2 linked regions of the Oryctolagus cuniculus genome follow. The protein of the gene in region 1 binds, or shares a complex with, the protein of each later gene. Links are inferred from orthologs where the notes say so. Each region holds a gene or a part of one and is shown on either strand. Other genes may lie near its edges.

Region 1 (7,728 bases):
TCTCAGTTTCAGCCTTTACTACTTTGATGGCCTCAGGCAAATTATATAACTTCCTGTGAACCTCAGTTTATTTAGCTGTAAAATAGGCATGACAATACCTCATGAAAAGTTTGTTTTACTAATCAATTGTCATGAGGTGTTAAAAAATGTTAAAAACAAAGAGTTCAAAAAAAGATATTAAAGTTCTCTTCATGCCCATGTTCAAGTGGAGAATAAATGATAGAAAGCAAATCTGCTTTTCTCCTGTTCACTGTTAGGACCAGTATTCCAGGAACCTGGATTTTAATCCCAGTTAAACTGTTACCTAGCCATGACACTATGAGAAATCACCTAACCAGTGTAAGTAGCAAATTCTCTTCACATGGAGAATTTGTCTTCAGTCTTCTACAAAGGAAGATGGATATCTGTGAAACCTACAATTGAAGAATGCCAGATTAGTAAACTACAGAGAGGGAAAAATGCCTTTGAGAGAAACTGAAACCGCTGGATTATGACTCAGTCTCATTGATAGATACTTTACTTTTTTATTTGAGAGGCAGAGATACAGGCAGATAGAGAAAGAAAGAAAACAAGGTGTGGGAGAGAGAAAGAGATTCCATCTGCTGCTTCACTCCTAAATGCTCACAATGATCAGGCTTGGGCAGGGCCAAAACTGGGAGCTGGGAAGAGAATCCAAGCCTCCCACTTGGGTGGCAGGAATCCAATTAAGAGAGTCATAATCACCACCTCCCCGTGTCCACATTAGCAGGAAGCTGGAGTCAGGAGCTAGAGCTGGGTATCGATGCACGTAGCAAATTCTGGTTATCAAACCTAGGCACTCCCACATGGAAAGCAGGCATATTAGCAGGCTTCTTAACTGCTCAGCCAAAGACTCACTCCAAGAGAATCTTTGTCTACACTGATTCCTCAGTGCTTAGAAATTATTTACCAAGGTCAAATTCATCAAGGAGGATTAGAATGCACACAGTGGTTTTCAAGGGATGCCTCTTCCCACCCTTCCCTTTTCATACTCATATCTTGGCCATCTCTAGACTTGGTTCTGAGCTGAAGGTTTGAACCATGAGCGTGTAATCCCCCTACCCCTAGTTTCTTGGAGTCCTATACCCACCAGGAAACTTCCCCAGGCCTGCCTTTGTGTGCAGGTGGTGTGAACAGTAAAAAAGGAAACCTGGTATCAAAAAGGATTCCCAATAAGGCAAACTTTCCCAAGCACGCATCCAGGTACTGTGTATCTATTACAGCATGTATCACAGGCTGCTTTAGATCGCCTGGGCTCCATTCCTAGGTAGTGGACTTACCAGCTGTGTGGCCTTGCCTACATATTTCACTGTTTTTAGTTTCAGATTCCTTGTGTGCAATACTGTTCCCAGTAAATGAGGATAGTGAGAGTATCTATATATTTTGGGGACTAAAAGAAATAGTTTATGTCAAATCGTTAGCACATAACCTGATGTAGAGCAAGTGCTCAATAGAAATTAGCAGCTACGTTTAATAGAGTAGAATGTTTGAAGTCAATATCCATGTATTTTTCCTGCTAGTATTCCCATGGTGCCTGAGACAGCTCCTCATACACGGTAGGCAACCAATAAATGCTTATTGGCTTAAGTTCTAACTGACTGAACAGCAGAAAACCCCTTTAAAGTGATTAACCAGTAAGTCCTCTATTTTGTGGGTTTGTCTAATTCAATAGTGACTAAGCCACAGGAGATATTGTTATAGACACCAGGAGCCTACCAGTGCTCTCCTCATGTTTTATACTCAAAGCTTGCTGTTTTTGTCAGGCTTGCTAAAATAACTGCATTATCAATACCAATTAGTTGGGTGTAAAAAACGAAAGTGCTGCTGAGTGGTTTTTATTGAACTGATACCTGCCATCCTTTCCCGCTCCCTCAGTGGGCAGGTTGGCCACTCCCCGGCAAGGTCACTGAGCTTCTTACAAGGCACCACATCTAAAAGAGAGACGTAAAGTCCCTGGCCTCAGGGTTTAAACACTCACTCAGCTCCATGGATGGCAAGACCAATGAAGAATATGACGAAGAGATGGTGTGTGTACCAAAACACTTCAAAGTAAGACCTCCGGATGATTTTGGTGGAGGATGTGATGATAAGTATGAGGCACAGTGTGATGATAATTCCAGTGACGCCTGCCAACCGCGTTACAGCCACTAACAGGCCTCCTTCAGGGTTCTGTAAAATATAAGCACATACACACACGCACATTATGGTCGGCTCTCAAAGCAGGAGTACCCTTTTATGAACTGCCCAGAATATATAGCAATAGGTATTTTCACTTCCCCTTAGGATAATCCTAACCATCCAGCACAGAGACATGGATTTGGAATAGGTATTCATTTTAAAATGTCTTATATGGTTAAGATGCCATAGTAAATATGAAGTGATACACTGAAGTATCAAATAAAAGAAATTAATTGACTATAAGGCGTAATGAAAGTGTCTGGAGCACTTTCTCCTTTGATTTGGGAGTGCTTTTTCACAGATGCATTCTGGGAACGCCTAGCATCTTAGCCTAGGTTCGCCAGAAGCAAGCCCTGAGATGAAGAATCATGGTAAAGCGATTTAGAACAAAACCTGCTCCACGAGAAACTGGTAAGGGAATGAGGAATGGGACAGGAAAGAGGAAAAAGTCAAGCCACATGGTGATCTCAGAAAAAGTTCCGCAGGCGCTAGCCTCAGCTGGATCCTGCAGAGGAACCCTGGAGAGTAAGGTCTGCCTCAGAGTTTATCTTGACTCAAAGCGAGGAATCTGTTTTCATGACTTGCACACGTGTATTACTGAAAAAGGGTTATCCAGGGAGAGGTAACCATACAGGCCCTTCTAGATCTATGAGCCTATGGCAAAGGACTTCAGTATCTCCAAGGCAGTCTTCTGAAGAAGGAATACAACTATAGATCATTGAAAACGAAAGCACTCAGAAGAGTGGAAGATGGGGCTGGCACTGTGGCGCAGTGGGTTTACGCCCTGGCCTGAAGTGCCAGCATCCCATATGGGTGCCGGTTCTAGTCCCAGCTGCTCCTCTTCTGATCCAGCTCTCTGCTATGGCCTGGGAAAGCAGTAGAAGATGGCCTAAATCCTTGGGCCCTTGCACCCACGTGGGAGACCCAGAAGAAGCTCCTGGCTCGTGGCTTAGGATCAGCTCAGCTCCGGCCATTGCGGCCATCTGGAGAGTGAACCAGCAAATGGAAGACCTCTCTCTCTCTACCTCTCTCTGTAACTCTGTCTTTCAAATAAATAAAAAAAAGAGAGAGAGAAAGAGGAAGAGCATAGATATAGTCAAAGTGATCGATGGAGATCTGAGCAGAGAGTGACAGTGTCTGCTCACCTTATTATGTTCATATCACCAATCTTATGTGTCATTTGGCAAACGATGAACAATGTAAAAGAAAATTATCCAAAATATTGCGGGAAAAGAATTTCTGTTTTGTTTGATTTTGTCCTTAAGTAGATTAGGCAAATTTTTCCCATGTCAGTCTGAGTATAATAAATTCTTTCACAAAATGAGTCTTCTATTATGAACTTTTCTTTTTTAAAAAAGAAAGATTTGCTTATTTATTTGAAAGGCAGAGTTACAGAGAGACAGGGAGAGACAGAGAGAGATCTTCCATCCGCTGGTTCACTCCCCAGATGGCTGCAATGGCCAGTGGTGGGCGAGGCCAAAGCCAGGAGCCAGGAGCTGCTTCTGGGTCTCCCACGTGGGTGCAGGGTCCCAGACACTTAGGCCATCCTCCTCTGCTTTCACAGGTCATTAGCAGTGAGCTGGATCCGAAGTGGAGCAGCCAGGAGATGAACTGGCGCCCACATGGCATGCTGGCATCACAGGCAGCGGCTTTTACCCGCTATGCCACAATGCCAGCCCCTTATGATCTTTTCTAAGTACAAGAAAACATGTTTGGAACTCAATATGATTGAGCCATCTTCCCAAGCCTTTGAGCACATGACTGTGACTTTGAGTTTCTCTGAGTGTAGGAAGCTTCAGCAACTGCAGGGAGGGAAGAAGTCCTTGCCTCTGGATAACCTCATGACTGCCCTTGAGACCTGTTATGTCACTCCCAGGGCACCAGGCTTCTCGAGGCATAATAAATGGTGGGCCACCACTCAGATGTTGTGGAAGAAAGAACACAGCACCACTGACAGCTGCCAGTTGGTGGCTGGCCTGACGCTAACACCAGGCCAGGGGTGTTCCCTACTTCACATACATAATTTCATAAAACACCAACCTCAGACTAGGTCATGCTCTGACTGTGATGGAATGCAATAAACACAAGACCACTTTGAAATCATGTCTGAGCTCAGACCAAAACACAGGTAACTCCTGCCTCTTTACATATTAAAGATTTAGCCTCATTCTCTTCCTTGTGCCTCCTAGGGAAATATATTAAGCTACCTGGTCCTAGAACTATACCCAATTACTAATAATAAACAATCTAGAGAAAATCTTTGTTTTCCTAATCTCTCCTTCAAACCATCTAATTTAAGACTAAATCTATGGGGCCAGTGCTGTGGCACAGCAGGTAAGGCCTCCGTCTGCATTACCGGCCATCCCATATGAGTGCTGGTTCCTGTCCTGGCCGCTCCACTTCCAATCCAGCTCCCTGCTAATGCGCCTGAGAAAGCAGCAGAAGATGACCCAAGTGCTTGGACCCTTTGCACCCATGTGGGAGACCAGAAGAAGCTCCTGGCTCCTGGCTTTGGCCTGGCCCAGTGCTGGCCATTGCTACCATTTGGGGAGTGAACCAGCAGATGCAAGATCTCTCTCTCTGTATCTCTTCTTTTATAACTGTCTCTCTATAACTCTGCCTTTCAAATAAATAAATCTTTAAAACAAAAAAGAAAACTAAATCTCACAGCAAATTCCTCTTAACACCCCATGAGATGCCCCAGACTTGCTCATAGTGTGAACTTTCATTTGTTGTAGTAGTAATAAATCAAATTTTGTTTGACTAAAAACATAATCCTGGCTTTTCTGACTGGTAGGAATGGCCATGAGAGAGCCTGAGTTACTACAGGCTCCAAAGGCACACATTCTCACAGGTGAGTTTAAGGAACTGGGAAACATCTACAGATCTTCCATACATGGCATCAGGAAAGTGGTAGACATTCTCTCTGTATTCACATTCTTATAACCTACAGACTTGTCCTGATGATTGGCCAACTTTTGTTGTGGTTCTAGCCATATCCTGACCTTCACTCACTGAAATCTAGTCCTCAGCTTTAACTGCTTAGGGAACAATTGAATCAGGAAATGAATAGCTTACCTTGATTCTCTCTCGAACAAAATTGAGGTAAGTTTCATTCTTTTTGTCCCCAATTTCAGAGAGTGCTATCGAGTAACTATCAGAATTGTTGACTCGGGCATTCACACACCACTCCACATTGAATAGATGTGCAATTGTGTGAATCGCTAAAGAGGGCAAAAAAGAGAAACAAAGAAAGTGAAGGGTATGCAGAAATGTATTGTAAGCTGCTTTTCCAGCCACTGCCTCTGATTGAATGATGTCACAGGGAGAAACAGGGGTGGCCCAGGGCACTTATAAACAAGAACAGGATCCCCAGAATCAGCAAAGCAAGGCTATTCTAGTAGGTAAGTACCTGCCCAATTGTATTTTTACTGTGAGAAAATCACTTAAACTCTCTGGTCTCAGTTTCATCATTTGTAAAATGAAGATCTTGAACTATATGCACCTTAGACCTAATCAAGTCCTAAGATTCTAAAAACTAGCGTTGGTCTCTCAGGATGGTGCTTTTCACTGTCTCTTCCTAATATAGTTGCGCTCAAACATTCTTGAGCTCTCATAAACCTAATAGCTGACCAATTCATCTGACTCTGAAATCACTGATAAATGTGATTGAATTGATGTAAGCCAATGGCCACAAGTGTGATTCCCTTAAAAAACAAACTGCATTCTTTATTCTAACATACACATGCATAGGGCTTACTAGGTGTCAAGTATTGTTATAAGTGCTTTACAATTACTTCACTTGTAATTCACTCAATGATGTAGGTGCTATTTAGTGTCAGCTCATCTTGGAGATGAGGGAACGGAGACATCCATTTATTTAAAAGTTTGGCCAATGTCACCAATCTAGGAAGTAACAGAGTTAGGAGCCAAATCCAAGCAGTTTGGCACACAAATCTGCGATACTAACCAGTAAACTATGCTACTTTCTAACAAGATTTTGTCACATTTCTTTTGAACTATTTCATTCACCCCATCTCAGAAAGCCTACATGATCTAGTAGGAACAGAAGAACCCATTAAGATCTGTAATCCAAGTTTATTTTACTTGGATTAGGAATAAACTCTGAGGTAGAGTAAAAGTCTGTTGTGATCATTGCTGTGCGCATCTATTGTCCGCCACATGAATTATTTATTAAGTAATTGGTAGACACTGGATAAGGGCCCAGATACACACCTTTTTGCACTTATACCACTAGCCTAATGATTATTATATATATACACTCATATATGTATAATGTTTATATATAATATCATCATCATCGTCATCACCACCACAATGAAGATATTTAGCTGCTAAGAACTATCTAAAGGGATTCTCAATTTTTTGGCTCCTATAGGTTTACTGCAGAAAATCCACAGATCCACGTGTGCAACCATTTGGTGGAATGAATAAAAGCTCTCATATGTATGCTAACAAACATTTGTTATGTTAAAAGTAATGGAAAAAAATGAGGATGATTGGATTGACTTTTCCCATGACACATTTTCATTTGTATAGGCAGATCCTAAGATGTTAAAGTTTTAAGACCTTGAGAAATAAATCCTAATATTGGAATGACAAAAAGAGCAGTAAATACTTTAACAGAACTCTGAAAGAATTGATATCTTGCAAAAAAAGTCACTTAAGAATGAAGAGATATTTCTGGTTCAAAGTTTCCTTCACAATTTCAAATATTTCAATAAACTTACCAGAATGAAGTGCAATCATCCACGCCACCATTTTATGAAAAGTGAGATTTCTGTCCAGTTGTCTTCGAATTCTTGTTGAGCAGCACTTCGGAGTAATGGAGAAAGAAAAATAAGAATTATTAACAAGAAATCCTTCTGTGTACTAGATATTTGATGAGCATCATCTCATTTAACTCTCACGACCACCCTAAAAACTTGACCACACTATTTGAAAGATGATGGAACTGAGCTCAGAGAGTTGTAACCAACTTCCTCAGGTCAAACAATTAAGCAACATAGCCAACTTCATCAGCTTGTTTTTTGTTTTCATATCAGTGCCATGAAGTCTCTCCTGAAATCCACTGTTTAATGGTGTAAAAAGAATTTGGAAAGTGAACATATCTAACCACATAGTTTCTTGTACCAATTAATTTATTCAACAAATAGGAAATATGGAAATTTATACAGGACAGCTCTTCCTCACATACCTGACAGTCTAATTGAGGAACAGTTCTAGAACAAGTGGAAAGTTCCCAAACAACACTTCTTCGGGACAGACTTTATGGGAGGAAAAAGAAAGGTTCACTTGCCCACATAGGTCAGAAGCGTCATAATGAATATCATTGACAAAATAATAATAGCATAAATAGCAGTAACTAATATATATCAAGAGTTTGTTGGGGCTGGCACTGTGGCATAGCAGCTAAAGCTGCTGCCTGTAGTGCCGCCATCCCATATGGGCGCTGGTTCTAGTCCCAGCTGCTCCACTTCCTATCCAGCTCTCTGTTATGGCCTGGGAAAG
Region 2 (7,768 bases), on another chromosome or scaffold:
CTGCTCCACCAGTTCCTGTGGGGGCTGCAGCTCCACTCTGGCGCTGATCAGCTGTGTGACCTCAGGTATGTGTCTCACCCTCTCTGAGCCTCCATCCCTCCCCTTCAACACCTGCTGTGCTGGGCTGCGGTGTCGCCTATGAAATCACGTCAGCCGCTGACACCACAGCGGTTCCCAAGGACACGGACAAGCTGTGCTGGCGTTCAGAGCCACCCAGGCAACTCCTCGGTGGAGGGGAGGGGAGTGCCTGCCGTGTGGGATTGTGGGACTAGAGAGAGGGCCATCGTGGAGGGAGCTGGAGACAGAACGTGTTGGAGTGGGGGAAACAGCTTGAGCAAAGGCCCTGCGGCAGGAAGGGTTTGGGGGCAAAGCAGCTGCTAGAAGCAGCCCTGGTGGCTGGCGCTCTGCCAGGGCGCAAGCTGAGCTCCGCGGGGGCCCTGGCAGCGGCTCGCAGGGCCTTGTGGGTAAGCTGGGGCTTCGTCGCGTCCTGAAGCCGCTGGATTCGGTTGCAAGGGAGTGCTTCCGTCTCCTTGTGTGGGGGGTAAATTCCATCGACTGTTGAGAGGCGGGGGGGGGAGTTCTCCCACCCACTAGTTCGCCCCCTCCCCCCAAATGCCTGCAACAGCTGGATCTGGCCCAGGCTGAAGCCAGGAGCCCGAAACCCAATCCGGTCTCCTTGGGGTGGCAGGAACCCCGGTACTTCATCACCTGCCGCCTCCAGGGAGCTTTCCAGGAGGCTGGAGCTGGCCATGGAGCCAGAACTCGAACCCAGGCCCTCCAACATGGGCGCCTGGACGGCTGCACCAAGCCCCACCCCTGACTTGGGTTTCACGCAGCCGCTCTGGCTACTCCTTGGCCAAAGGCAAGAGCCAGACGAGGCGCCCGCATTGGCATCCAGCAAACACCCCCAGCCCACCTCCAGGGGACTCACGGCCCAGTCCCGTGGGCTCCGCCACGCCATGCCGTGTGGGCGCCTGCACGGGAGCCACAGGCCGCGGTCTGCCTCTGGGCGTGGGACCGCGGGGGGGGGGGGGCACCGCCGGGTTGCATAGGAAAAGCACCAGGCGAACAGGCGCCGAGAATGGCACCGGGAGGTTGAGTCTGAGTGTCCGGGGTCGGTGCGCAAGGCTGAGGCGCGTCCTGGAGAGCCGGGGAGCCGGGCAGGGCTCGCAGGGGATCGAGTTCCCGGGAGCAGGCCCATGCTGACTCCCCCCCCCCCCCCGCCGTCTCTCAGGCACCCTGTCTCCCATGTGGGCGCAGGGGCCTAAGGACTTGGGCCACCCTCCGCTGCTTTCCCAGGCCATAGCAGGGAGCTGGATAGGAAGTGGTGCAGCTGGGATCCGAACCGGCCCCCGTATGGGACGCAGGCGTCACAGGCGGCGGCTGCACCTGCTGCGCCACAGCGCCGGCCCCTCCGAACTTTGAGTTTTGAAGACGCTCTCATCTGCACAGGTTTCTCGTCTTCTCACTCCATTTTCCGCACTTTCTGAAGTCCCTTCGTCCGAGCCTCCTGGGTGGCACAATTTTGATGGCAAAAGAGGGCAGGTTCCCCGGGGCTGCCCGGTGGAGGCGGGGCGGGAGGGGCTGGTAGGAGAGCTGGCCACTGCCCCAGGCCCAGGTCAGGGAACCGCAGTGGGCCTGGGGCACCAGGACCAGTGACCAGCGGGGCGAAAGGATGAGTGACGTGACGGGGCTGGGGCTCTGCAGGGGACAGCCAGGTTGAGCCGGCTGCAGGTGCAGAGTCCCCGCCCGCCAGGCCATGCCAAGTCTGACGCCTGCAGCCCCTAGTGCTAGGCGGGCGCCCGGGAGCCGTTGTCGTGGGACAGGGCCAGCGTTCGCCGATGGTCAGCGCCTGCCTGCACCCAGTGGTTCTTCCTGTTTCCAAGCAGGGGCTCACTGACTTCCCTCACGGTCTCCCTTTTCCTGTCCGAGGGGCCGCGCCTCCTCTGCCCATCTGCAGAGCAAACGGGAGTGGCTCATCTGATACCCAGGGGCTGCTGGGCACAACTGTGTGATGGGAGGAGCACTGGGCCAGGAGTCCCAAGGCCTCGGTGACAAATGCTGCCCGCTAGCAGTGACCAAACAAATTAGGTGGTTTCCTTTTCATTCGTCCCAGAGCAAGGTGTCCGTTGTCACTCATATGGCTGCCGCCTGGTGCCACCAGGCTGGGGCACCCCCCACACACGGGGGGCAGCTCCCGGCTCAGAGGAGGTGGCCGCAAACCCGAGTGTGTATGGGACAAATGGACGCAGTGTGCGGAGGGCAGAGCAGCCGTGGGCTAACGCGGAGGCGGAGCTCATCCCAGCAGGCCCCGCCTCTCCTTCCAGCACCTGCCCTCCGCTTGGGGCCTGCTGGCGCCAGCCCTGCTGCCCTGCACCTGCTGGGACAGACGCTCTCCCGTGGCCCTCGGTGGCAGTGGGGGCTGGGTCCTGGCTGCCTGAACCCCCTCTCGGCCGCCACCCAGCACCTGTGGTTTGCCTGGGCTTACTGCCACCCTGGCTGAGGAAGTAGCCTGGCGCGGGGTCCAATCAGAACATGGCCTCCCCAAGACAGACACAGTTGGTGGGAGGAAGGCCTAAGACCTAAGCTGGGCCAATCGGAGTAAACCTCCATCAGAACTTTGCCTGGAACAGCCGCTCGCTCTCTGTGCCTGAACTTGGACCAGGAGGGACGAAACCTTGCGAGCCGCTTGCCACAGCCGGCAGGAGACAGAGGCGAGAGACACTGGGAAAACCAACCCTGATGACGTCCACGGAGTCCCCTGGATCAAGCCGCACCTGAAACCACGTTTCCAAACTCTAATCCCTAAGTTTATTTTCTGCTTAAGCAGCTTGAATTTGGTACTAGCCAAAGTCCTGCCTGGGAGGGCGTGAACGCTGAAGACTCTCACAGGCGCAGGCCGCTGGGGGTCGTCGGGGGCGAGGGCAGAGGTTCGCTGAAGCCCGACTCCCAACACGTGGGGTCGGTGGGCGACACCTCTGGGGGCTGGGAGAACTCGACTTGCCTTGTGTTGTCCAAAAACAGGGAGAACTAAGACGGGGGCAGCAGGCTTGGGAGACACTCGCTTTCGCTCGGTAGAGAAAGGCCAGGCGAGGGAGCTCATTGGCATCAGAGCGGACCGCGCAGGGGACAGCAAGTGCCTGGTCCCTCGAGGGGACAAGTGGAGGCCAGCAGCCAGGGCCCCAGGTGTCCAGGCGTTGGGAATGGCGGAAGTGCGCAGGTGCTGCCCTGTGTGGCAGCTGGCTCTGACCGCAGTGACACGGGGGGCGGCTGCGCAGGCCTGGGGCTCCCTCCGGCCCCTGGGAAGGAGGGAGCACGGGGGGACGGGGACGCAGAGCCCCAGGGAGCGTCCGGCGAGAGAGGACGGTCAGGTCGGCCAAGCTCTGCAGCCATCTGCTAAGACGCCCGAGGAGCGGACGGCAGGGCCAGGCTTCGCTGGGGGCCCTGGGAGGGTCAGGACCAGCTGGGGCGGGGCTGGGCGCAGTCTGGAAGGGAGACGGCAGGCGCTGAGAAGCAGGGGGCGGGCAAAACCCACAGCGCCCTGCAGCCCCGGGGCCTGTGTGCAAAGTGCAGGCTCGCTGCTCCTCCCCCTGCAACCACACCCACCGCCCCCTCTCATGGCCGCCCCCCCAACCACGCCTGGGGCCCATGGGGTTCCTGACTGTCCTCCTGTCCTCCCTACCGTCCCCTGCAGGACTGGGGGGCCAGGCGACAGGACACTGCTGACCTCTGGCTCCGGCAGGGGACAAGAAAGCTGGGGAAACTGAGGCTCACTCAATACCGGCCCTCGGCTGTGCCCGCTGGGATGCGCAGCCACCTGAGCCTGCCAGGTGTTGGGAGGGGGGTAGGGCGCAGGCGCAGGGTGGGGGTCTTACCCTACAGGATGCTGCAGGGGCGCTTCTGCTGCCGTGTGGGCTGGGGGCACAGCACGGCCCGGATGGCCTCGTCGAAGACGGTTTTGAGGCCCCTCTGGGTGAGGGCTGAGCACTCCAGGTATTTCACCGAGTCTGGGGGCGGAAGCGTAGGTTCGGGGTGGGGCTCTGGGCAGATCCCCTGCCACACCACCCCTAGGACTGTGGGGACTGCCGTCGGGGTTCCAGTCCCCACAGGGTCTCCTGGGAGCTGTGTCACCCTGAGCAAGGAACGGAGCGGCCTGCGTCTCAGTCTCCCCACGTCTGAAATCGGGAGCCTGGATTCAGCGGGAGAGGCGCAGGCCCCCAGAGCAGGGCTGTGTTTCTGGGGCTCCTCCACTCGCCTCCGATGGGGACCCTGCCCCAGTCTCTCCGCCCAGCCTCAGCTGCTCTGGGAAGAGTGGCCCAGGCGTTCAGCCAGGGGCAGCCCAGGGCCAAGGCCCTGAACACCAAAGGTTCAGATGCCCCCGGGGTTAGGACCCCGGTGCCAGCCCCCACACCCAGGGCTGTGCGGGAGCTCATAGGCTCTGATCTAACAAAGCAGGCCCCTGCCCCAGACCCGGACAGACCCCAGCCCACTCTCCCAGAAAGATACAAGCTGGTACTCGTCACCGACCAATCAGAGGAAGGCCACACGCTCTGTGGACCAATCTGATCTGACCACACCCTGCTCAGCACCCCCCCACACACACACGCTGTGGGAGTCCCCACCCCGATCCTGCCCCTGGCTCTGTGCAGTGCAGATCAACTCCTGCCCCACGTCTGTCTTCCCCGGCAGGAGGGGTGGTGAGCAGAGCCAGCACGCCCATTGTACAGATGAGGAAATCGAGGCCGTCAGAGGACATTACCCAAGCCCTCACAGCACACTTCCCCTCCACCTGAGGGGCAGGAGTTGGAGGGCGGGGGCTCCTCCACACATGGCATCGCTCTCACGACTGCGCAGGGCTGGAGCCCGGGGCCGACCGCGGGCAGGGCAGGGCAGTGCTCCACGGCCTTCTGGAAGGAGCCTGTGTGACTTCCCCGCCCGCTGTAGCTCAACAGTTCCCCGAAGTGAGGAAGCACAAAGCCTCTGCAGAGGACCCAGAGGAAGCGGAGGGGAGGGGCGGGGCAGGGAGGGGAGAGCAGGGGAGTGCAGGGGAGGGGCGGGGAGGGGAGAACAAGAGGGGAGGGGAGAGCAGGGGAGGGGAACTTTGCCCCCCAGAGAAGCCCACAGGCACAGGGGACAGAGCAGGGTCGGCACCAGCTCTATGTCCAGATGCACACAGCTAGGAGGGGGGAGTTGGGATGACAAGGGGGAGCCCCCATCCCCAGGCCTGGGCTGGGGAGAAAGAAAGGGTGGGGCCGCTCGTCCAAGTCTCACACTGGAGGGAGCCGGCGCCCCCCCCACCCCGGACTCCTGTCTGGCAAGGACAGCCAGCCCTCAGGTCCCCTTGTCATCACCCCCCAGGCTTAGAGGGGCCACCGGCACTTGGCCGCGTGTTCCTGTAGGGGCCCGTAGCACTTCCGCGCCTCCCACACCCACCAGCAGCTGCCTCTTCCCTCACACCCACCCCCACTGCTTGCCCGGCCTGGCTCAGCTGGGCCAACACCAGGGTCCTGAGCTGGGGGCCTGGCTGCCCACGGCTCTGCCTGTGACCTGTGCCCGTGCTGGGTCACCGGCCACCACCACCCGCCCGGCCTCAGTCTCCGTCTCCAGGACTCTTGATGGGCGATGGCCCCCCTCCACCGGGCGGCCCCAGTGTTTGGTCCCCAGGGCTGGGATGTGCACCCTGCCACCTCCTAGGTGTGCGGCCGGAAGCCAGCGCCTTCCCCCCCCTTTCCAGTAAAGTGGGGGTGCTAACAGTCCCCCCCGCCGCGTCACTGCTGCAGGAATGGAGTAGGAGAACCTTCTGCCCAGCTCCCAGGAACAGCCATATTCAGCCATGATCAGCAGCAGGGAGCAGAGCCGCCCCCAGAATTCGTCATCCCGGGGCTGGGGAGCCCCGGGGGAGGGGACAGAGGCAGCCGCTGCCTCCTGGTTAGTCCCGCAGGGCCCCGCCCTCCCCCAGGCCCAAGGTGCCCAGGTCACAGCATGGCCATAGCCCTGCCCTGCCCCACCCAGGGCCAGCTCCAGGAGAGAAGCACCCCCAAGTCCTGTCCCCGTGAGGGGAGACGGAGGCCCAGTGAGGGCAAACCACTACCCCAGGGTCACACAGCCAGCAAGGCCCAGGCTGAGAGCCGCCGTCTGGGACACATACAGGCTGGCCAGGAAGGAGGAAAGGTGGGGCCGCACCCCCCAGCCCCCGCGGGGCCTAGGACGGGGCAGGGGACCCAGGGTTGGGGCGTCGGGGTTGGGGGGGGCTGGAAAGATGGCCGCGTCCCAGGCCGGTCACGGGGAAGGCGGGCGGCACTGCGGTTTCTCTTCCTGTGAAGGGATCGAGGCCCTGCCAGTTCCGGCTTGAGGCCACGATGGGGCCCAGGCAGGGAGGGGTGGGGGTGGGGAGCCCTGGGGGACCCTGTGGGGAGGCTGAGGGCGCAGTGCCCAGAGGCCCAGGTGGCCCCGGGCTCCAGGCACCACAGGAGAGGCCGGCCCCACAGTGGTCACCTCCCTGGCGCAGCGGGAGCCACTCTGAGGAGCGCCCCACCCCTCCCCCACCCCTGCAGTAATTCGCTGCCCCTCCTCCAAACCACAGAGCAGCCACCTACTCGCTGTGTGACCTGGGATGTCACTTCCCCTCTGCCATCTGCGGGCAGGAGCAGCTGGGCTGAAAAGGGGGAGGTGGGGTGGGGGTAGGGCAGACGCCGTGCGTCACCTTTCCAATCTCAGACAGCGACACCTCCTCCAGGGAGCCTTCCCAGAAAAACCCAAGCTTGCCTTGGCTCCACACAACCCCAGAACAGCCTATGCCATCCCTGCCTCTCTCTGCCCTTGTCTTCCAGTGCCACGGCCACTAACCACCACCGTGTACTGCCCGCCAGGCACCTCGTGTGTATGGGCTCAGTCCTCCTGCCGAGGTAGGCACTGTCACCATCGCCTGCTCTCTGAGCCAGGAAACACAGGCGCAGAGGGTCTCGGCAGTGGGCACATGGTCATGGAGCAGAGGTATGGCACAGCCCGGGCTGACCGCCGGAGCCTGGCCCGGGGCGAGGCTGAGCCCCCGCGCCCCACCCCAGCCCCAAGCCTGAGCCCCTACCGATCTCCTTGGCCAGCGCCAGCCCCTGCGGGTAGGTGATGGGCGCCAGCTTCTTCTCCTTCAGCTTCTCGATCGTGTCCTTGTCGTCCCGCAGGTCCAGCTTGGTGCCCACCAGGATGATGGGCGTGCTGGGGCAGTGGTGCCGCACCTCAGGGTACCACTGGGTGGCGCCGTGCAGACCCCGGAGACAGCGGTTGGGGAGAAGATGGGAAGGAGAGGCGCGAGGAGGGGGTGTGTGGTTGGAGGACGCAGGTGCAAGGGGAGGAGAGAGACAGGGTTAGAGGAGGCAGCTGGCCAAGTTCCCGGCCCAGCCACCCTCGGAGACGCCCAGTCACGGGGCCCCCTGAGCCCCCACGCCAGCCCTGGGATCCCCGCCTCCCGTCCCGGGTCCCCGCCAGACCATCGCTCTGCGGCCCTCACCTTGGCACGGACGTTCTCATAGGAGGCTGGGCTGACAAGGGAGAAGCAGATGAGGAAGACATCCTGGGGACAGAGCGGGCAAGGGGGCTCGTGAGGGGGCACCCACAGGTGTCTCCCCAGCCTCTCCCCCGCCCCCAGCAGCCACTGGAGCAGCCCAGGGGACATGAGGGCCCCGTGACGCCGGAGCCCCTGAGGCCGAGGCCGGGAAGAGTGGGCTGTGGTCACAGAGCTGGGGGGGACACGAGCGGGGGTCCCTGGCTCTGC

The links. Proteins that work in one complex are often made in the same cells at the same time.
Region 2: CYBB (region 1) and RAC2 share a complex: the UniProt entries of both Homo sapiens proteins name them as parts of the phagocyte NADPH oxidase complex. The link is inferred for Oryctolagus cuniculus from reciprocal best matches to the Homo sapiens genes CYBB and RAC2.

What each region holds. Positions count from the first base shown.
Region 1 is NC_091453.1:23,803,250-23,810,977, reverse strand, and holds part of CYBB (cytochrome b-245 heavy chain), read right to left. Parts: intron 7,033-7,728; coding exon 6,948-7,032; intron 5,421-6,947; coding exon 5,275-5,420; intron 2,188-5,274; coding exon 1,997-2,187; intron 1-1,996. UniProt on the Homo sapiens protein: Catalytic subunit of the phagocyte NADPH oxidase complex that mediates the transfer of electrons from cytosolic NADPH to O2 to produce the superoxide anion (O2(-)).
Region 2 is NC_091442.1:114,244,970-114,252,737, forward strand, and holds the end of RAC2 (ras-related C3 botulinum toxin substrate 2), read right to left. Parts: intron 7,568-7,768; coding exon 7,505-7,567; intron 7,245-7,504; coding exon 7,085-7,244; intron 4,008-7,084; coding exon 3,877-4,007; 3' UTR 3,876-3,876; intron 3,486-3,875; 3' UTR 2,789-3,485; downstream 1-2,788. UniProt on the Homo sapiens protein: Plasma membrane-associated small GTPase which cycles between an active GTP-bound and inactive GDP-bound state.